2 linked regions of the Lonchura striata genome follow. The protein of the gene in region 1 interacts with the protein of each later gene in a biochemical or structural test. Links are inferred from orthologs where the notes say so. Each region holds a gene or a part of one and is shown on either strand. Other genes may lie near its edges.

Region 1 (10,537 bases):
AAGCACCTGAATCAGAATATTGGTTTCCATTAGGAAAGAAGGCTCTAATCTTAGGAATTTGAGTTAAGACTCCAAAGGAAAGAAAATTTGCTAGTCCATAGAGTTTGAAGAAGCCTCTTGTGACCTCAAGAACATGCATGTAGCACTGCACTTGAGGCTACATGTTAAATTGAGTCAGGAGCTGAAGGTAACACACCAATAGATTGCTGTTTGTCCCCAGTAATTTCCCTGGTGAGCATTATGATGCAGAGATAATTCACAGAATAAATAAATCATTCAACTAAACAACACTGCTGATAAATAATTTCCACTAAACTGCACTTTCAATTAACTTGCAACAGAAGGCACTTTCAGATGATAGGGCTGGAATGCCTGTAGGCATACAAAATGTCTTTCTTTTAAAATCAGGCAGGTTTTTGGTTGTTTCTAGGCTTTACAGGGGAATATTGCTGTTGGTCTTTTCAGCAGGCATTTTGATTAAGACATGTATTTTTAGCCTTTGAAACAGAAATATCATACTCAATGTGTTCCATTACTGTGTAATATATACTGTATCCTCTTTGATAATGTTGGAGTTGGTCTTTGAAAATAACTCAAGTATCCAGAAATTTTGAAAATAAGGGACAAATCTTACCCTAAACAGATAACAAGAGGACGTAACCTTCCCTCCTTTCCCAGGGAGTGAGAGCAAGTTCATCAGAAGTAATCTATGTGCTTTGTCTCTACATGCATAAGCTCACAGATTGCTTATGAATGTAAGAACAGCTTGATTTTCCCACATCAAGAAAATAAGGTTTTAGGAAAAATTTACCTCTCTTATCTGCCATAATACTGGAAAGTCTCCAATAAACCTTCTGTGTGAGACAAAATTCAGACAGGTTGTGCAGCATAAACCATAACTCAGATGTTTCTATAAGCCACCGTCTTCTTCTAAAAGCTATTTTTTTGCCACTCTATTAATGCTCAGAGCTGTTTACTTGTTCTCAGGTGTGAAATCAAATCCTGGGAGAGCTGGGCTGGCCTGTGGCGTGACTCAGCACCCATCACCGTGTTCCTCTGATGGATGAATCTGGCAAGCAGCATGATGTGGGATCATGCCTTAAGTATGTTCATGTGAGTATACAAGCTTTAGTCCTGAGGAAGAATTTATCTGAGATGATTACTTGCTTGTTCCCTGGAGAGCAAGGAAAGAAAGCATACAGGTATTGTATGCTATGAATAAGTGGGGCCATCTCCACAAAGTAACTGGAGAAGCATTAGCACATAACAAGTTAGGGTTATGAGACTCATTTTATTTGCTAGAATTTATATATGTAGAATGAGGTTCTTTGGAATGTGCTACACTAAGAATAAGTAGTTTTAAGCTCTACTATTGGTTTACTGAGATAGAAAATCTTGCTCATTATAGCTATATTCAGAAACCACTCTGCACTGATTTCCCATACACACCAAGGGAGCTGAGTTGGAGTAATTCCAAGTACTGCGTGTGACATGATGCAACCTTAGTGCAACTCATCTGCAGCAATAACATGTATTTCAGCAGAAATGTAAAGAGAGAGAAATAGATTTTGTTTTCCAAGAATTTATAATTGAACTATGATCATGCATATATATTGGTAAAAGCCACTAAATTGCATTAATTCTAGATATGTAGGAACCAATATCATGTGAATGTAACCTTTATCTGGATATTGAATTCTCATTTATTTTGCCTTGTCAGATTGATTACATAGTGAGCTACAGTATTTTGCATAGCTACTAAATAAATGATGCATTTGAGACTTTGCATGGTCTGGGAAGGAAGCCTCTGGATCAATCCCTTCACTGTTACATAGAAGGAAAAGTTCAAGGAACATGAAACTAATAATTGTGATGGAGGAAGTGGTCTTAGGAAAATAAAGAACTTTTTAAACACATCCCTACTCAGTTTCTGGTTGAACAACTGTGCAATCCTGGGCAAATAATCTAGATTTTATCTGTAGGATATAATGTAAGATCCTGCAGAAATACCCACAGTGACTTTGACTGAACTGTGAGAACTATTTTTTCCTCATCTTGCTGAAATTTTCAGCTCTTGCAAAGCTAGGACATGTCACATAGACTACGTGGTACTGGAATAATAAACTGTACATTTATCAAATCAGGTATAAGAATCAAACCACTGAAACTATTTAGCAAGATTTATGAAAAGAAAAGAAGAGCAAAAAGAAAAGCGAGGCTTACGACAAGAAAAAGAAAACACAATAGGAATAGGAACTTTAGATAACGAAAACTCTTCTTATTTCTGAATCTGTTGTCCTTAGATAAAATGGAATTCCTTATAAAATTGCAATGTGGAATTAAATGGAATAATCTGTAGATCTGGAGAAAATATTTTTTTCAGTATTGGTTGTTACACTGCTGCCTATGTAGGCAGGGAACTATGAGTGTGTCAGGGAGGAGTGTGTAAACTGAACCTGGCCTGCTTGCTTCAGTGTGTTTATCAACATGATTTTGCTGTGTGTCTGGGGAAACAGCAAACTGACCTTGCTGGTCCCTGTGTTACAGGACTGGGATGTCTGTGATTCTAGTTAGGGACCCTGGTGAATTGCTCCAACTCTGTGGTCAGCCAGAGCAGCCTAAAGCCAACACAGATGCTGCCACTTCAAGGAGCCCTTGAAAATATTTAAGTGCATCCCATCACAATTCATGAGTCCTTTTCTGTGCCTCCCAGTGGGCTAGAAAGTCTGCAAACGAGGAGTGACAGAATGTTTCCTGGGCTTCCAGCAGACTCCTGCAGCCCCTTCCCTGGCTCTGTGTGAGACCCCACGTGTTTGGACACACAAGATGTCTCAGAGGCACTACTGCTACAGCTCAGATGTGGGCAGTGCATGGCTAGGGGCAGTTGATTCTCTCTGGTAAAGAAGCCTTAGTGCAGAGTGCTGGTAGGAGATGCTCTGGCTGCTGCATGGCTCTGCCACATCTCCCTGCAGTGACACCTGACAATTGCACATTGCCCCTGATCCATTCTTTCAGGGCCTGGGGTAGGGGGTCTGAGGGGCCGGTGCTGTGGTGGGGAGCTAAGCTGGAGGCAAACAAGCAAATGTCAAAGACACCTGGTAACCCTGCATGGTTCTTAAAGGTCTTGATGGCTGTTATCCCTCAGGAAGAATGGGACAGAAGGGGAAGGAGAAGCCACCTCAAGCCAGCAGGAAGGGGCCATGTAACAGCAACAAAGTGAGCCAGCTCTTCTGTGAAATCCTCATCTGAAAAACATCAATTGTAAATTTGCAATCTCATTTTTCCACATTTGCATGTGAATAAATCTGATGCTTAAATGCCCTGAAGAAAATGAATGAGGCATTTGTCTAAATGTGTGTTCATATTTGAAAATATCAACTAAAAATCTAGGAAGCCTTTGTACACCCACCTTTGCTATCCCTCTTTCAGCTGCTCTGAGGCCCTTTCATAAAGTACTCTTTTTTACTTACAAGAAAAGCAAGTATTGTTGCCATGTTTTTGCTCTGGTATTTTTGCTTTGCCTTAGAGAATAGCTGCTTTTTTGCTAGCCCTTCAGTTCAGTGTCTGATCCTACAGTTCTCTTCCTTTTTCATCTCTGATCTTAGATGAGCAAATACCTCAGAAATACATTTCACAATAATTGCAAAGCCAGTTTAAAAAAGCACAGCAGCATTAGTTCTGGTGCTGATGGTGAGTTATGAGAACTCCTGTATGCGAGGAAGAAAACAGACTAAGAAGAGGGTTTTCAGAAGCAGAAAAACAAGCGCTATGTTGGCCTGAACAGTTCAGAGGTGGAAGGATGTTCTGATTTTGCTCAAAGCAACACTAGCATTGATGTTTTGCATTTTGTTTTGTATTCTTCCCTTTTTTCTCTCTATATATATGTTGGATATATAAAAAAATTTAGAGCAACATGAATTTCTCTTTTTTTTTTTCTATTTTATTGTAGGGAATATTACTTATTGGTTCAAATGCAGTGATTGCTTTCCAGATGCAAGATGTTTTGCAGTTTGAGTAGGAGTAGCTTTCATAGGAACAGGACAGATGCCTGGCTAAATATTTCAGGCAGGTCTTTTAGAATGACATGGTAGTTGTGATATAGGTCACAATTACACGAGCACTGAAGTTGTTTGCACTCAGTCACTCAGTATTTGTGCAAGTAGGTTTCCTTGATTTTTTTTTTAGTGATGCACTATCACTGTTTAGAAGATTACTTACTTTTGTGGGAAATATTGTGCAAAGTGCTCTACATTAGTTTTGGCTGATATTTATTTAACAACAACAGATACTAGTGCAGGAACTCAGATCCAAATTCCTCTGAATTTCATGAATATTCCAGTCCTGTTTGTAATCTGTACATTTTTTATTTGTCTACCAAAGATATAGGACAATTTAAGATAGTTTCTTAAGCAATTACCACAGCCTTATTCTGAGGAAGTTGCCCCACAGGAAGTTTCTGCATGTATCATAGGGTGCCTGTATAGACCAGACTTGCAAATTGGTGTTAATGCAAGTGATAACTATGCAGTGGTACAGAAGATAATCTGGAATAGATCAGTCACCATCTCTCACTGTTTTTTAATTAGTTACCTTCATTTAGATACCTAATACAGAAAATTATTATCCTTCTGAACTGCCTTTTGCCATTACTATTTGGCAACTCTAATTTCAATATAAGATGTAAAACAGCTCTCTGAAAACTGTTAAAAAAACACAACAATCTTAGAAAATTAGATAAACCTAGTGAGGGTTAAACTTAACTTTTTTTCCTGTAAGTGTCATAAGCCCAACCTAGAATTCTTTAATAGATACAGTGCAGAGCAGAACTGAAAGTATTTTTAATTTCACTGCTTTGTATATTTACAGAGGGATTACAACAAACTTCTACACTTTATCTACATTTTAATAGGTCAGTGCGAACATATGAAGCCTATTAAGGTGGACTGACTTATTAAACTTACGTGAATTTTCCCAAAGCCCCCAGCAGTTGTGTGCAGCAGGGGCTGGGCAGACATGCATGATTGAGGTCATGCATCCAGCCAGTTTGTAAGATGATCCCTCTGTAGTGAGCCATCAGCCATCCTTAGCATAGGGGCGCACTCATACACGCATTCCTGTCAAGTCATCTTGTGAAAGGCTGCTTGCTTCCAGCTTGGCTTGAAAGTGCAACCTTAATAAAACTCACTGAAGCCTGAGAGAAAATAGCAGTTCTGCAGCAGATAGTGTAGGGGAAAGAGACTGGGATATGCATATGCAGCTGACTAAAGCAAGCTACATGCTGGACTGTAACAGAAAGGAAACAATAAATCTTAGCTACTATGCAATAAATATTCCCAATTTTAACTAAGGAAGCTATCCTCACAGTGAAATTAAAAAAAAAAAAGCAGTTTATCCAAGCTTGATTGTTAAAGTGTGCTGCTCCGCTCTTTTTTCCAAAGACTTTAAGGCAAATTAAGAACAAATTTAAAGAAAGAGGAAGAAAAAGTTTTTCTTAAAGCAGGAAAGGAAAGTAAAAATAACATGTCAGTTTTCTTTTCCTTTGCTTTCCTGGCAATGATTCTTGCTCTTGTAGGCTGTTCTAACCAGCGTCGGGGTTCAGAAGGCAGTGGGAGAAGATTTAACCGGGTTCAGCACGGGCAGTGCACCTATACTTTCATTCTGCCGGAACAGGACGGGAACTGTCGTGAAAGCACAACAGACCAGTACAACACAAATGCTCTTCAGAGAGATGCTCCTCACGTGGAACAGGATTTCTCTTCCCAGAAACTGCAACATCTGGAACATGTGATGGAAAATTACACTCAGTGGCTGCAAAAAGTAAGTGCTTCTTTTTTTGTTTCTCACTAAATGATTTTTTGGGGAATGTTTATGCTGTTCAAAGTTTTTGTTAGTTTCTATGAGAACAGAAGTAATAAGGATTGATACAGTTCTTGGCTGTGTAGGAAAGAAATATTTTAGCCGGAGTGCACCCTTGCTAGTGACATTGCTTTTGGGAGCTGAATTTTCTTCACTTCACTGAAAGATGTGACTTCTTAAGGCTTTTTTTTCAAGAAAGTATGGATGCGTGTGAGTCGGAGGACACAGAAATCCTCCAGAGACTCTACTGACAGAGCATACGAAGTTCTTATAAGCTCTACTTATAGTTCACAGATTCAGCTCAGATGTCATGCAGGATACCTGCTACTGTGACAGCAAAAGGGAGCATTTAAAAAAATCAGCATTTAAGGGCACTGGGTTAAGAATATCATTGTTCCTCCATAAACAGGTCCTGTAGTACTATTCTACCCCTCTGATTCCTAGAAAAAAAAATGGAAAATATATAGACATTCACACTTCTAAAACTTCACAGTAAACATTTTTTGCCATGTTGAATACACTGGTCTTGACAGCCTGCTTCAATTTGTGTTTATCTATGTGCATTCTTTCCTAGAAAGGGGAAAATGGGTTTCAAGGTGTTGCAGTAACTTAATAGAAGTAATTATTTTTATGAAGTTTGGGTCTGAAAGGCTTAAATATGAGCAGTTCTAGTTACCTTAGCATGATTACTTACATGTGTAAAATTACATGTCTTGCACAGATATTGTCCATACCTTTGTAAAGAAAATGGTTTGGAGTAGATGACCAGTTAAAATAAATAAACAGTCTGTATATATAGCTATTTGTGATATTCCCATTCACATGCTGCCATTTTGACCTGGCAAAACTTAGAAAATTGCACGACTGAGTGATGGAACTAGTCATGTAATCTGGTACGAGAAAACTTCTGTATGTACCCATTCAAGAGATGCAGTATTTAACTCCAACTGAGGTTCATACTAAGAATGAACATCAATAAAACTCTAACTCTACTAGGTGGGCTGAAATTTCATATTAGCACAGTTGCTGCTAACCTATCTCATTTACAAGTTTTCTTTCATCCACACAGTGCATATGACATAAATATGTTAAAAAGCTTATACTGGTCCCTCACCCACCTAACTCTACTAGAATTTTTAGAGTTTTTGATAAATTATTTGTTCTCTTGCATATCTGGCCATAGCAAGAGAGAAGAGATTCTGTATAGAAAACATAACCAAGCATTTAATTTTCAGACTACTTCTCTCATTTTTTAATGTCTTGATATGCCTTGGGGGAATATAGGGCTGGAAATAAGCGGATGTTTTATGTAGAGGAAAAGAAACTATTTTATTGTGCCTTGGCAGGCTGAGACAAGCACTAAAAAGAGGAAAGTTGTTTTCTGTTTTTATACACATATGATTTTACTTGAGGAAATTGCCTGCTGAATCATGCTTCTAAGACTTATTCTGTGTTTGTCCACTAGAGACTGAACTAAGATCACTGTTTCAACAGTGATCATGAGGAAATATGAGTCTCTGGAGTGTGGATGTCTGAGGGTTAGTCCTCTCACACTTTGGAGGGAAGTGATTAAACAGGTAGGAAGCCCAGTGAAAGGGATTTATATTAGGCCTGTTTTCTTCTGCAATGGTTGTAAAACCGGCTGAGGGCAGAACTATTCCCCTCCTCCTTTCCCTCCCAGCCCCCAGTGCCTTGCTCCCAGGGGTTAGCATAAAACTGGGATTATGCATGTATCTCCATGTGTCAGCTCTTGGAATGAAAGGACCTGTTTCTCTTGTGAAGGACCATGTCTCACTCTGAACAAATGAGGCTGATGCAGCTCCTTTATAGCATCTCTGAATACTGAATTTGCTTTGTTGCTGTTGCCACTACAAAGCATCTCAGCCATAACTCATTTCCTTTCAAAACCTGCATAATTCTCAAGTGTAATGAATATATAATGTAGGTATCTCACATCTCATTTTTATACTCTGCATTTATTTTTCCCCTAAACTTTCTACACTAGGCAGCATTTTACAATGCACCTGCTGTGAATAAACTAAAGAATAATTAACAGCTGCAGGTCTTTCACTGCAGGTCTTTCACTGGAAGAGAATACTTATACTCAGAAATAATGTTTAAGAATTTTAGAAATAGTCTGACATAGGCAAAGGAGTTATGCTTATTACTTCAGGTCATATATATAGCTTTCAATAAAAAATTACATAGGCAGTGCTTGGCAAAGTGAATTATTTTCTAAGCACAAATGCTCCCCGTGATATTTGAAAAATACTTACTGCAAAATTTTGTAAGAATCATGGCTTGCTTAAATTTTAATTTAAAATTGTTATTTAATATCCAAACTATCAGATTTTTAGAACCAAAACAAATATACTTTTCTGTAAAAAATGTAATTTTTTTTTCTTAATGCAAAATTGCTTCTTTGATGACCTACAAACTTGATTGTGGATAAAAATGCCCTTGCTTGGGAAGCCAATTATAGGCAATTAAGGCCCAGCCTTGTCCATTATAATTTGCATATCTATAATCAGTGTAAGTGGGGTTGGTTGACAAACCAGGGACATGGCAAAATGCTCTGCACAGAAACTTTGCAGAAGAAGATGACTTGGTAAACATTTTTAGAGATTTTCCTAGAACTGTTTATTTTAATACCGGATAGCTTTCCCCATTGTTTAAGCTTGGATTTCATTTCTGCAATATGTTTATACTGATAGTTCAAAACAAACAGTTCATCACATTTTCTTTCTTGCAGTTACTGACTGGCTCACGTGACACTCTTTGGTATTTAGTTGCAGTGTCTAAGTATTGCCAAAGAGGAGTTACATGAAATGTTATCATCATGTCTTGCTTAGGAAGTTGCTGTTGGCTTGCTGAGCTTACAGTATTGGTGGACTCAGTGTACATTCAGGATAGCTCTATAGATGAGTGTTCCATATAGTTTTCCTGACATCTAAATGGTGGTAATAATTGTTATAACAGTAATGAGTGAGTTTTACATGATCTACTGCTTCTTTTCTTCTCTCTCATTATATAAGCAGAGTACCATAAAACCTATAAAAGTATATAATTAGAAGCTAACACATACAAGTATTACAAGAAGGTAGATAGACCAAAAAAAAAAAAAAAAGGGCAGCTTCCACTCACTTCCTCTCCCTTCAAAGTGCCCGTGCTGTTATTTATCAGCTACAATCATTAAAGAAAGAAATGATGAACGGTTTTTCTGGGATATCTGTAACCCTTTGATAGTCAAAAGTTCATTCTTAGAATAAATATACTAAATTATTTTTGTGGTCTTTCTTGACTTCCTTATTTTGCAACAGTAACAACACAAGTGCCCACCTAGGTTTTAAACAGGTAAGGGGTCTAGTTTTTGAGGAGGCCATCCATTATGTAGAAACAAATGGAATTTGGAAAGACCAGCGTCTGTCACTGTGTGCTGTGGCTCCACTGAAAGTCTGCCCCTTTGTGCTGTCTTTACTATCAGGGCTTATCTACTGTTTTCTGCAATAAAATATAATAGCTGATTTTTGCCTTGGATTTTATATAGTTTGCTGAAGATGGGAAAATCCCTTTCCTGTCACTCTTGCTGTGAAGCAGAGTGGAATTATGACACAGTAAGCTGAGTGAAAATGTGACAGAGCCTACCCTGAGCAGTACAGATCTAAAGAGCTGTATTCATGTCCTATAAGGCAAATTTATGTTAATATAAAGATGGAGATGGTCACTGTGTGGGTGTGAAAATTTTTTCATATTAAGAAACCAATTTTCAGGAGTTGAACTATCACAAGAAATGTTAAAAGTTCCATTTTATTTATAATTATGTTTCATTTCATATTATGTTGCAATATCACATGTGACCTAAAAGTTCACATAATATTTGGATGTTAAATGCAACCAGGAGATGCAGGATGAACTCCTGAAAACTCTCACAAACAAAAGATGGTCACTGGATTCTGGATTTACAATCTGCAATTCTGCATGTATGAGCATTACTAACAGAGCTGTGTGAAGAATAGCTTTCCAGTAAATCTTTTCTTTCTCAAGGTAGACCAGAGCTAAAAGAAAACAGTGAGAAATTTGCATCCAAAACTGGGCACTATTTGGCATCCAGCTCAAACCTGTATTTATTTTTTAGATACAGAGGCTGCTCATTAATCTGGGTGCTCCCTTCTGCTTTGAAGTCAATGAATTCTCATATCCAAAGGAGAGCCTCATCCTAGTGATATTTGAAATGCAGTTCCCAAAAATGTGAAGCAAAGGGTGGAATACAAAATAGTGGGATTTCTTAGTGTACTACTCAATAAGCAAGTATATATTTATAAAATCAAAATTTAAGGAGTAAAAATGTCTTAATGGAAATAAACTGGCTCCAAGAAAATCAATGTTTGAGTATAAATCCAAAATTGCTTATTTTCCCCGAAAAAAATCTATTGGCCAAAAACATGCCTGCTTTTCAAAGCTTTGTTAATCAAATTGCTCAAGTCGTTGGAATATTGTGATGCACCCACAAGAAAGAGGCCATACTTCAAATGTGGAAATGCCTGAAAGCTTTACATTATTGGAGAATAATTTATTTGGCAATTAAGGTTTGTTTTTTTTTAGAAGCAAAAGAATCAGGGAATTAGACTGAAGGACAGTTTCACATGTTGCCACATTTGGTAGCAAATTACTTAAAAAAATA
Region 2 (11,061 bases), on another chromosome or scaffold:
TCCATGTGGTTTGTGGCGTCTGTGCTCCATGTGGCTTTGTGGCACCTGTTAACTTTCCTGTCACAAATCCAACAAACACCTCCAGGTGTTGGCCACCCTCCCACCAAGCCACTGCACAAGCATGGCCCAGCAGCCTGAGCCTCTGGGGCTGTGGGGCAGAGCAGGGGGTCTCCACCTGCAGTCCCATCCAGTATGATGGAGGACACTTTGTGGACACCTCTGAATCTGCACAACTTACTGTTGTTCTCAGTCACTGTCATCGGCTGTGCTGTGCTGAGCTCACGAGCAAACCGCTGCTTAATCTGGCAGCCCAGGTCCTGAGAATCCAGAGCTGTGATCTCCTGGCCCCTCAGCCCCGGGGGCGACACACAGGTCACCTGCACAGCTGGGAGACAAATGGGCTAAGGTAGGATGGGGGTCTGTGCCCATCACCTCTCCTGTTTAGAGAAGATGATCCCTGCTTGCTCCTGAGTTGATGGGTTGCATTGCAAGGTGCTCCTGGCTCTGCCTTACAGACTTGCTGACCCTCAGCATATTGTAGGAAACAACCAAAGGGAAAATCTCCTGACCAAGGAACTGTGTATGACTCCGATCAGCAGTTCCTTTAAACTGGAGACTCACAAATTCATGGATACCCACAGAAACCCCACTGTTCTTACTTGGAGCTGAGCTCAGATGGTTGGAGCCTGACTTGGCTCCAGAGAGGAAGCTGCCAAGTCCTCAACAATGAAAAATGTGGTCACTCCACAAAGACACACAAAGATGGATTTAGAGGCCAAAGTGTACATGCAACCCATTTCCCAGAAAGGTAGCCAAATTATCCTGCTGACATTGTTAGAAATCCTTGGTATCCTGCATAACTGCAAGCAAGGAACAGACACATCACCTTTCGGTTTGCTGTCCATCAACAGGGTAGGGCAGAGAGCCACCTCATACCTTGCCCAGGGGTCAGAGCAAACGGATCAAGCAAGACTTGATCCATTTGCCGATGGATCAGGCCAACACACTCCCTGCCACCCATCCCCTCCACTCACCTCGCCTGCGCCACAGCCACTGCTGCAGAGGGTGCACGCTGCAGTTGCAGACCCAGGGGTTCCCTTCCAGATGGACCCATGGGACTGTCTCCAGCAGCTGCAGGCTCCAAGTGTCCACAGAGACCAGTGCATTGTGTTGCAGGTCCAGATGGAAAAGAGCTTTCAGTGGCAAAAGGAAAGGGACATCAAGCTTTTGCAAGCTGTTGTTTCTTAGAAGCAGTGTGTGCAAGTTTCCCAGACCCTTGAAAGTGTCCACGTGGATGTAGGTGATGCTGCAGCTGCTCAGGTCCAGCAGATGCAGTGCTCCAAGGTTGGAGAAGACTGCTGGGCTCAGCGTAAGCTTGGCATTGCTGGAGAGGTTGAGAGAGTGCAGAGAAGGGAAATGCTTCAAGAGAGTCCTGTGATGGGGCATGACCAAGGAGTTGAAGGAGAGGTCCAAACTGGTGATGTTTCCTGGAAGGGAACTTGGAGCATGCTGAAGGCTCTTCCCACTGCAATTGGCCCATCCCTGGGAAAAGAACTACTGTCTGAGATGGGCTATCCATGATGGGGAGTGTCTCTAGAGAGAGACTCCTCAAAAGTTCAAATATCTTAATTACCCAGCAGAGTTTAAAATAAGCAAAGACACACACACATTTAAAAAGCACATGAGCTGCCAGACTGGAGTGGGCCTAGATAAATAGAGAAAGGTGAGGAGGACAGCCCAGGACTGAGAGCAGCTGACTGAAACAGCATAGGAGGAGCATGCAGGGCTGGAGGAAGAGCCCAAGTGGATGAGTGAGAAGGCAGCAGGTTGTCACCCCCCTGTCCTTCCGTACAGGGCAGTTGTCATACAGGGTCAGTTTGCAGAGGGCCTTCCTTTTCCTACCCTGGATCCCCACCTCCAGCCCCCTGGGAGCTTTTGTGTGACACAGGGGCATCCTCCCAGCTGGAGCAGGGAAGCAGGCGAGCTTTGCCTGGCAGGAAGCTGACCAGGCTGGAGAGCTGTAGGCACCTGTACCAGTCACCCAGGCTAGGAACAGCTCCCTGGGACCTGTGCAGGACAGTGCACCAATGCTTTCATCTACCCCACGTTCCTGAGGATACACTGTGTGTGGCTGTCGCTTAATGCTAGCTGGCTGTGTCAGTATTAGGAAACAAAAAGGCCAAGGACCATTCACTGTCTCAAATACCAGCAGAGCAGGATGGAAGGATCAGTCAACCCACATGGATTTTTTTTTTTACCAGTAAAACAGGGTGCCTCAACTCAAATAGTTTTGGGTAGCAGTCCCCAGCATGGGTTACTCTTGCCTGGGCTTTTAGTGGGAAGGGGTCAAATGTCCAAACTGAAGCAGACAGAGAGCAAGTCAGAAATTTAAATTTGGTTGGGCAGGCACAAGCTCCTGTTAAGTGCTGTGTTTGGACCTCGCAAGCAGAGATGCTGGGCTGCAAGTTTACTGTGGTCCTGGGTTTCTGTGTCTGGCTATATTCCCGCTAGATGGGCTTTTCATTTATTTTACCTCTCCTTTCATCCTCCTGTCCACCTAAATCTCCTATCAGACCCTGCTGTTCCTGCTTGGTAGAGGAACAGATATACCCTTAAAACCTGGGGTGCTGAGGACCGGCTTATAATTGGGCAAAGCCACAGGGGCATCACATGGGTCCTGTTTCCAGCTCAAACACAGCTGGGCTGAGGGAGGCTTTGGAAAACAGTGCAAACCTTTGGGTGGAATAACTGAGAGATCAGTGGAAAGGTCAGTGGCCCATGACAGCCAGTTTCCTTCATTCCCTCAGCTCCTGCCTGATGCAGCCAAGCTGCTGGCTGCAGTGCTTGTCCCAGCAGCTTAGTTGTGTTTCCTGCTCCTTTCTGGGTGCTCAGGGATCCCAGCCCCAGGCTTGCCAATCACCCTGGCTGCAGTCACTGCATCACCATGCACTGGGGAAAGGAGTGAGGGGTTGGGACATCTTCAGGGATGTGACTCATGGCTGCTTGCCATGCACCCCTTATGGGCAGCTGTGTTACGCCTGCAGCCAAGAGACCCCCACAGTCAGAAACGCCATGACTCAGACAATGCTGTGCCAGGCCATGCTCTGGTGAACAGGCTGGACAACATGACATGTTCAGCCCAAGGCTGGGAGCAGGACAGACAGGCTTTGGGGTATGGCCAAACCACCCCTGTGGCTGGCACAGCACATCTCTCAATTAACTCCGCTGGCTCCCGTCTTCTCTTGAGCTGTGCAGAGCAGGAGCTGCCTGCCACGCCCGTGGGCACCCCAGCTGTGCTGGCAGGACCCGGAGCGGGGGCCCTGCCCACCCGCAGCCCCCACGGCCCCCCTACCTGGTGGTCAAGGCTGCAGGGGTGTCCCATCACCACTGACCAGACGCAGAGGAGGCCACACACCCAGCAGAGCAGGCAGGTAGGAGCCATTTGGCTCCAGGAAACTTCCGGCCAGAAAAACAAGTCTCGGGGAAAGCTGGGAAGCCGGCAGAGCCGGCCGTGCCGGACGAGGTGTGGCGCGGCCGCCCGGCTCAGGGCCGCACCGAGTCCCGCACGCCGGCAGCGCCCGGGCCCCGGCCCCGCTGCCCCGGCCCCAATGCCCCGGCCGGAATGCCCCGGCCCCAATGCCCCGGCCCCAATGCCCCGGCCCCGCGGCCCCGGCCCCAATGCCCCGGCCCCAATGCCCCGGGCCCGCTGCCCCGGCCCCGCTCCTCCCGAGCCGGTGAAAGGTGGCGGTCCCGGTTACACATTAACAGCCGCGCCCATCACCTCCCAGCCCTGTGCCGCCCGTGATCGGTGGCCGGGACCGCCTGCTGCTGTCTGGGGTGCCGTGGGGGCTGCCGGCGTGGCAGCAGGACCCTGGGACGGGCTGGGGGCCTCCAGACAGAGGAGGGGACGCTGTGTCTGTGGCATCTGCCCTGAGACACCGCGCTGGAGGACAGCAGCCTGAGCCGGGTCCGGCTGCTGGTCCATGCACCTGGGACAGGGGCACACAGCCAGTCCTGGCCGGGGAACTTGGGCTGAGGCAGCAGGAAAGTATCCTACAGGAAAACAAAAGTCTTGCTGGGATTCCAGCAGAAAGGTGTTTAAAGCAAGCAGCAAACTGGCAGGTCTCCGGGCCCAGCAGCAGCAGCGCAGTGAACAGCACCTGGCCATGAAGGTCCCAGAGGATGGGAGTGCCCCACCACCTTCGGCACGCCCCACACAGACCTGCCGCTTAACAGTAGTTCTCCCTTCCAATCCTGCTGTGGAGTCAGTGAAAGTCTGAGAAATCATGTCAAAGCAGCATCTCATGGGTGTTTGCTGGCACACCAGACCTGCTCCTGTGACCACGGGTGATGGGGCGGGCGAGTGGGCAAGGCTGGCAGAGCCACAGGCCAGGCAGGGAAAGAACTGGCTACACCTGCTCCTGGCTTTGCCTCTGCAGCAAGAGGGAGCACCAAGCTCTTCCCTGCTCCCCATTCCCTGGTCCCACGCCTGCTCAGCGTCAGGAAGCCGATTGCCAGCAAGAGCACTTTGGAACTGTCAGCAGCTGGGACAGGACGGCCTCTCCTCCCCCAGCTGCCAAAGGGCTCCTCCACAGCCGCACGTCCCACCCTTTCCTCAGGGAAAGCGCTTCCCAGCAGCCTGTCCTTCATCCTGTGGGCATGTGCTGGATGCCAACGCAGCAGGCAGCTCCTGCTTCCCAACTGCCCAGGCGGGCTGGGGATGCTCAACTACCCAGTTTCCAGGATGTTCCTATGCCTGGTGGGATCAGTCCTTAACCCAGCCTTGTGGGGCCTCCCCAGGACCTGCTGAGCACATAAAATAAAACAAGCATCCAGAGAAGTAGGGCTAGAAAGTGTTGAGGCAGCTCGGTCCACTGGTGCATCTGCAGGGCGGTTGCATTTCCTATCAGGAAATGTATCTGTGTGTTATGGTTTCTGGCATGTGGTGCTATGCATTAGAATGTGCAAATGATAACAAAAAGTGATATTTTTGTCATTCTTTGGGGTTTTTGGTTTGGTTTTTTTTTTTGTTTGTTTGTTTGTTTTTGTGGTGGTTTTTTTGTTTGGTTGGTTGGGGTTTTTTTGTTGTTTTTTTATTCTGTTGTGCTTCAGCTGAGGATCATGGAATCAGCAGATATTCAGGTGCCTGGAGTTTCCTATGGATTGGGCAACTGGAGCTTTCCATGTTGCAGGAGAGCAAGTGTGGAGAGCTGCTTCAGCTGTGCCTATCTCTCTGGTGTCTTCTCTGGAGAGAGATAAACCGGAGGTGTAAGATCCTGACTGGCCACAAAACTCCCCAGAAAGGTTTCCTACCCTACCTCCACCTGAAGGAATCTGCACAGAAAGACAGCACAGCTCTTATCCAGGTACTCCTAGACAAAAACACAAGCAAACAAATCACATTGGGTCAGATTCCTCAATGGATCCCTGAGATCTGGTATGGTCTGGTGTTGAGAATGATCCCACGTGGCTCCCATTATGCAAAAAAATCTGTGCAAATAATCCCATTCTCAAATGGATCCTCCTGAAAGAAGGCATTTCACAGAGTGCACTGTAACTCGGGCTCTGTGTGATGTGCTCCCCCACAGCTGCCAGGGAAGCATGGAATGAGTTGCACATAAGCACACAGTTCTGAGCCTGACTGGCCTCTACAGACAGCTTCATTTTCCAGGCAAATGAGGGCAGCTGCACCTGGTGTCCACCTTTTTCAGATCCTCTCCACCCCTCCTGCTGTGGGGTGGCCAGGCAGCTGCACTGTGGGAGCCCCTGCTCACTGCCATCCCTCCCTCAGCATGCCATGGGCACTGTGCGGCCCCAGAGCACTCTGTAAATAGCCGGAAGCGATGAATGGATTTCCCTTTCCTCTCCATGTGTGCTTTAGATTTTTGGCCGGATACAGCATGGGCCCAGGACACATCAAAACATGAGATTCACTGCCTGGCAGCGCTGGCTTTCACATGGGAACAGTTTGGTTTGTGAAGCAGTGTGAAGTTTGGTGCATGAAGCGTATGGTGATTTCCCGGGGAATGCTTTTTGTTTGCCAGGCAAAGAGCCTGGATCCGGATGGGGGCTGGCACAGGCTCCATGGTGGGTGTGAGACACTCGGGTTGGGCTGCAGCAAGGCCATGCTGTGCTGTGCCCATGCCAGCACTGTGCATGGGAAAGTGCTCAGGGAAAGCCAGGCTTTCTCCTGCTTCCCCTTCCTCCCAGACATGTTTACCACAAACCACAGGGTTTTCTCCTTGGGCAGTGGCCACCCTCCTGTGTGAGCTGGGCAGATTGTTGGCACCCTGCCGGGGCTCCTACTCGGCCCCTTCCAAGCCGGACGGTGTCCCCAGGACGGGCCCCTGCAGGATGGGTCCAGCCTGGCCCTCGCACCCCGCCCGTGGCGGCGGGAGGCTGAGGCGCCCCGAGGTGTGCGTGGCCTCAGCCCCGCCGCACGCCGCTCCCCGGGGGACACCCGTGCAGGGCTGCTCCCGACGGCTCCTGGAGTCAGGGCCGTCTCCGAACAATGGGTGGAGAGCAGGAAACGCCGCATGGGAAACAGGATTTGGCTCCGCCGCCGCCAGCCGGCCACGGCCCCTTGGCCCCTTTCCTTTCCCTGCTCCAGAGAGCCCTTCCCACAGCCATCAGCCACGGGGCTGCACCGAGGGGATGGGGATGCCGCCGCCCGGGCGGGCTGGGGCATGAGGCACTCAACCTTGGACAAAAAGCAGGGTCGGGACACCTCCTGCCTGGGCTAGGGCCTCAGCATGGCTCAGGGAACCCTGAGCACGCAGCCCTAGCCCTGGAGGGGTGGACTGGTGCCTTTTTCTGGAAGAGCTGCCACCAGGCAGGGGACCCCAGTGGCCCCTTGGCCAGCAAGCCCTGCTCCTGAGCAGCTGGCTGGCCAAGGAGCCAGCAGAAACAGGGCATCTCGCAGTCCGTGTCCAGGCTATGCACCAAAGGAGGTTGTCCCAGCTGCCCTGGAAGTCAAGCAACAGCATGGAGAAGAGATGGGGACCACGGGCAGGGAGCACTGGACCTGAGCTGCTGCTCACATAGAGCTCCTAGGCAGACACAGCCTCCAGCTCTGACCTCCGTAGCCAGGAAATGCTGGAGATTTTCTGACCTCTGCCAGATTTGGAACAAGCTCCTAGGACATGGGACTCCGGCTTTATCTTCTACTTCTCTTCCCACATCTGGCAGGTAAATTGCTCCTTTTCATCTGCCTCAAGTGAGCAGCCCCTGCCTCAGGGCGGCTTGGTGGGACGAGGCAGCTGTGGAAGCTCAGCGGCGCCATCGGAACAGGGTAGGGAGGGAGGAAATGTCCCTTTGTGATCAGCCATTTGGAGCCCTCAGAGGCCCCTGGCTGCCTCTCTGACATGGGAGGAGAAGCACCCCAAGACCCCTGTTCTGATGCATGCTTGGCTTATGCGGGGGAATTGATCCATCTGGGGTCTCCAAAAGGAGAGCAGAAATGCATGCTGTGTCATCCCAATGTGTCTGCAATGTACCTTGCTTTGCCCAATCTGTGCCTTCTGGGCTGAGGGTGGCAAAAATGTCCTGGAAAGGGGGGGACATCTGGGTGACAGGATCTGGCCCTGAGACAGGGCTGGTGTGGCCATGCTCTTGTGGAGCTGTGACACACCCTTGTGCTCCCTCACCCCAGGGGCCATCCTGGACATCACCCTGATCGCCAACGTGCAGAGCCTGTCCCACTCTGACTTCTTCCTCTCCTGTGTCGTGGGGGAGCACGACGTGAGCTACCTGCAGATCGAGCGGGAGAACAAGATCGTGATGACACACCCTAAAATGGGCTTCCAAAACTATCGCAACCGCAGCAACCAAGTCCAGGCCAGGGGCTTCTCCAAGGCTGACCTGGTGGGGATCCTCTACTGCCTGGGGCGCACCCCGACCGAGCAGGCCCAGGTGGTCTATGTGCACAACAGCCACAACGGTGAGTGGCTTTTGGGGGCAGCAGGAGGCCCTCGCCTGCCAGTCGGGTGCACAGGAAACCTGCCTGCCCTGTGCTTCACAATCCCAGCACCAGCCAGGCTGGTGTGGGGACAGTGGTGACCCATAAGCTAGGTTTGGGGTCCACCAGCACTGGTGGAGTGGAGATGGGAGGTGGAAAGGATGTTCAGCTGGAGGAGCATGGTTGAGCCCCATGGAGGAGCCGTCTGTATTTATAATGAGGCTTGGGACAAGGGCAAGGTCCAAGAGGAAGTTGAGTGCCCTTGGAGGAGGTTGTAGGGTCTGAAAATCATTAACCAGAGCAGGGGCCAGCCCTTTGGAGCTGTGCCAGCCCATGCCCCCACCACAGGCTCAAGGGGAGGAGGTAGTGCTGGGGCATATCTTTGGCAGTCGCCCCAGGTGCTGGACAAACACCATCCCGGGGCAACATACCTCTGTTCCAGCAGTAAGGCTTGCTGAGAGGCACTGGCAGACCACACTGCAGCCAAGAGCAATGCTGGGCTCGTCTCCCACTCCTGTTTTGGGCCATAAAAATTGAAAAGGCCTCCCTGGGCTGACCAGCAGCAGGGATACTGCAGCACTCTCCCACACTGCCCCTCTGACCTCCCCTCCCTGTCCTTGAGACTTTGCAAAACTATTAGGACTGAAACTTTCTGAGATGTTTGCCTCAGGATGCTTTCTAGCTCTTTTTTAGAAAGTCTAGCTAAAACAGTTGACCTTTCGCTGAGAATAAGAGGAGGGGATACAAGTTTCCCTGCCTGGGTTAAGCACACAGCTTCAGCGAGGAGATCAAGTGTCTCCACACTGAGGCACAGAGGCTGATGATGAGGCCTAAGCATCCCCCAGGGAGCAGGGAGCAGGGCTCAGCTTTTGTCCTTGTAAAGAGGCTCAAGTTGAAAAATGACTGTGGTCCTGTGGAAATGGAGCTGGATTGTCTGAACAAGCAGGGTGGCACTGAGGAATGGAGCAGAGGCCAATGGAGAGACAGTGTGGGAGACACAACCAGCAGTGTGGGGTGAGGAGCACGGAGGGATTTCTGCACCCCAAGATGTCCTTGTTTATAAATCATGGGTGAAGGTGATGGCTCTGGGGCTCCATCCCTGGGACAGTTTTTCCCATGGTGGGGTGTTCTCAGTCAGCCCCCGCTCCTGACTCCACTTAGCCAGGCTAAAATAGTGCTTTGGAGGAGCCCCACAGGGGAGTTACAAGTGCCAAAAAGGTGTCTCTCTCACAAGTTCCAAAGAAGCTTCTATTGCTCTGTTTAGAGGAGGACTTTAAAAAATAAGGGACTTTGTAAACAAAAAATATACATGTTTGCAGGAGGGCTGGATACAGAACCCACTGAAGAGTGCGTGCCATCTCTCCTGTTTAGCCTGAGAGAACTGACCAAAGCAGCTAGGGTGATTAAACAGTGGGTGGGGAATGCTGTTAGAGGAAAGCTGGCAGCTCCCAAAAGGTCATGCATGGAGAAGAACTTAGGAAGTTTGATAAATTTTGGAAGCATTGCTGAAAAAACAAAGTAAAGAAAACCAAAGAGATCCTGAGAAGTAATTTCAGAAGTGTTTAAATCTGTCAATAAACTATCTTCTACACTTTCCAGAGCAGAAAGACACCCAGAAAAACAACTGTAGAAAAAACAGTGTTTTAAAAATTTTTGTATCTGTGTGCACAACAGAGGATTTGAGAAAACATGCTGGGGGGTCTGTCTAAAATGCCACTGTTGTTAGCAGGAGACAGATGATGAATAGCAGAACAGAGCAGCAAGACATTGCCAGGCTGGGCATGCGGTGAGCAAGGCTGTGTTGCTGCCCTTGTGAAACTATTCTCTCTTAAAACTTCTGGGTAGGGAGTTACAGGACTAAAAACTTGAGTCAGAACCTGGCAAATTAGCAGAAAGTGTAATAAAGAGCAGAATATGTGGTGGTGTGCTCCCTGAGAAAGAGGCAGCTGAGTTTGCAGTGGTAGGGTCTCTGGGGCAGCAGCAGTGAGGATGCTGTGGAAGACCAAATTGATACTCTCTGCTCAAATGCCAGGAGAAAACTGGGAAAACTCCTTTTCAGAGGTTCTTTGAGAGAAACTTTGCACCCAGGGGGTGGTAGGAGAGGTCTTTTCGTGGGTAAATAACAGACTATAAAAAGGGAGATTAGGAGTAGGAGCAGGCCTTGTCACATGAGGGAGTTCCCACTGGCATGGCACAAGGTCTTTGCATGGACCTATATCACCAGCTGTGGGTGCAAAGAGCTGAACAAGCAGCCATGCTGGCTGCTGTCCCCAAGCTGCCTGGGGAGATGATGGATGCACCATGGAGTGACAGAGAGATGGGGGAGAGATGCAGTTTGGGAGGGCTGCAGTGATGCAGTGACAGGTAAATCAGTGTGCACAAATGCAAAGTGTTGTGTTTGGGGGTCCCCAGGGAAATGTCACCTTTCGTTCCAGGGAGTGAGGTGGAGTGAAACTGAGTGAGGGCCATATCTGTGGTCCCACCACTGCAGGCTTCAAAGTCCATGGAAGAAAGATCCCAACTAGAGGGATAGGAGGGGAGAAAAGTCTGGGAAATTACTGCCAAGTGTGACCTGCGGTGCCCTTCCCTAGGCGTCTGTGGTGTGTGCTGCTTCCTCCTGGTCCTTGGCCTCAGAGGGGCAGGACACAGGGCTGGATGTGTTTTAGCTCCAACCCGGCGTGGCTCCTTTTAGTGTGTGCAAGCTGGAGTACTGCCAGGCTCCAAAAGCCAGCAGCCGCCTGGGTCCTCCTTTGTGTCTGTCCTGGCACGCCCTGGGCTTGGTTTCCCAGGCCTTAAGGTATTTATAACCCTGTTTGTGCTCAGGCTGGGGTCTGGCTGACTCACATTAATACTTCAGTTCATTGGTGCTGCACACCCCAGCACCTGGGGAATCAGGAAAACAGCCATTACAGGGCTGCTTGTCTTGGGGACTGGAGTGCAGCGTCCTGCACACTTAATTCCCCTCCCCTGCCCAGCTTTCCCTGTCTGCAGCACTCCACACCTCACCAGCAGGCAGGGTACACCATGCACACTTGTTCCAGATGTCACCTTCCCAGATTGCTGCCACCAGCATCCTGTGCAAATGGTGGGCTGTTCAGAGGGCA

What was found.
Region 2: the proteins of ANGPT1 (region 1) and TIE1 interact in a biophysical measurement, tested with the Homo sapiens proteins (2 studies listed by BioGRID and IntAct, with this or other methods). The link is inferred for Lonchura striata from reciprocal best matches to the Homo sapiens genes ANGPT1 and TIE1.

Annotation. Positions count from the first base shown.
Region 1 is NC_134603.1:18,763,853-18,774,389, forward strand, and holds the start of ANGPT1 (angiopoietin-1), read left to right. Parts: upstream 1-5,092; 5' UTR 5,093-5,520; coding exon 5,521-5,817; intron 5,818-10,537. UniProt on the Homo sapiens protein: Binds and activates TEK/TIE2 receptor by inducing its dimerization and tyrosine phosphorylation.
Region 2 is NC_134611.1:15,102,465-15,113,525, reverse strand, and holds the start of TIE1 (tyrosine-protein kinase receptor Tie-1), read left to right. Parts: upstream 1-6,625; 5' UTR 6,626-7,142; coding exon 7,143-7,188; intron 7,189-7,651; coding exon 7,652-7,939; intron 7,940-11,061. Other genes in the region: C9H1orf210 (type III endosome membrane protein TEMP), read right to left, coding at 239-385, 1,035-1,542, 3,353-3,442. UniProt on the Homo sapiens protein: Transmembrane tyrosine-protein kinase that may modulate TEK/TIE2 activity and contribute to the regulation of angiogenesis.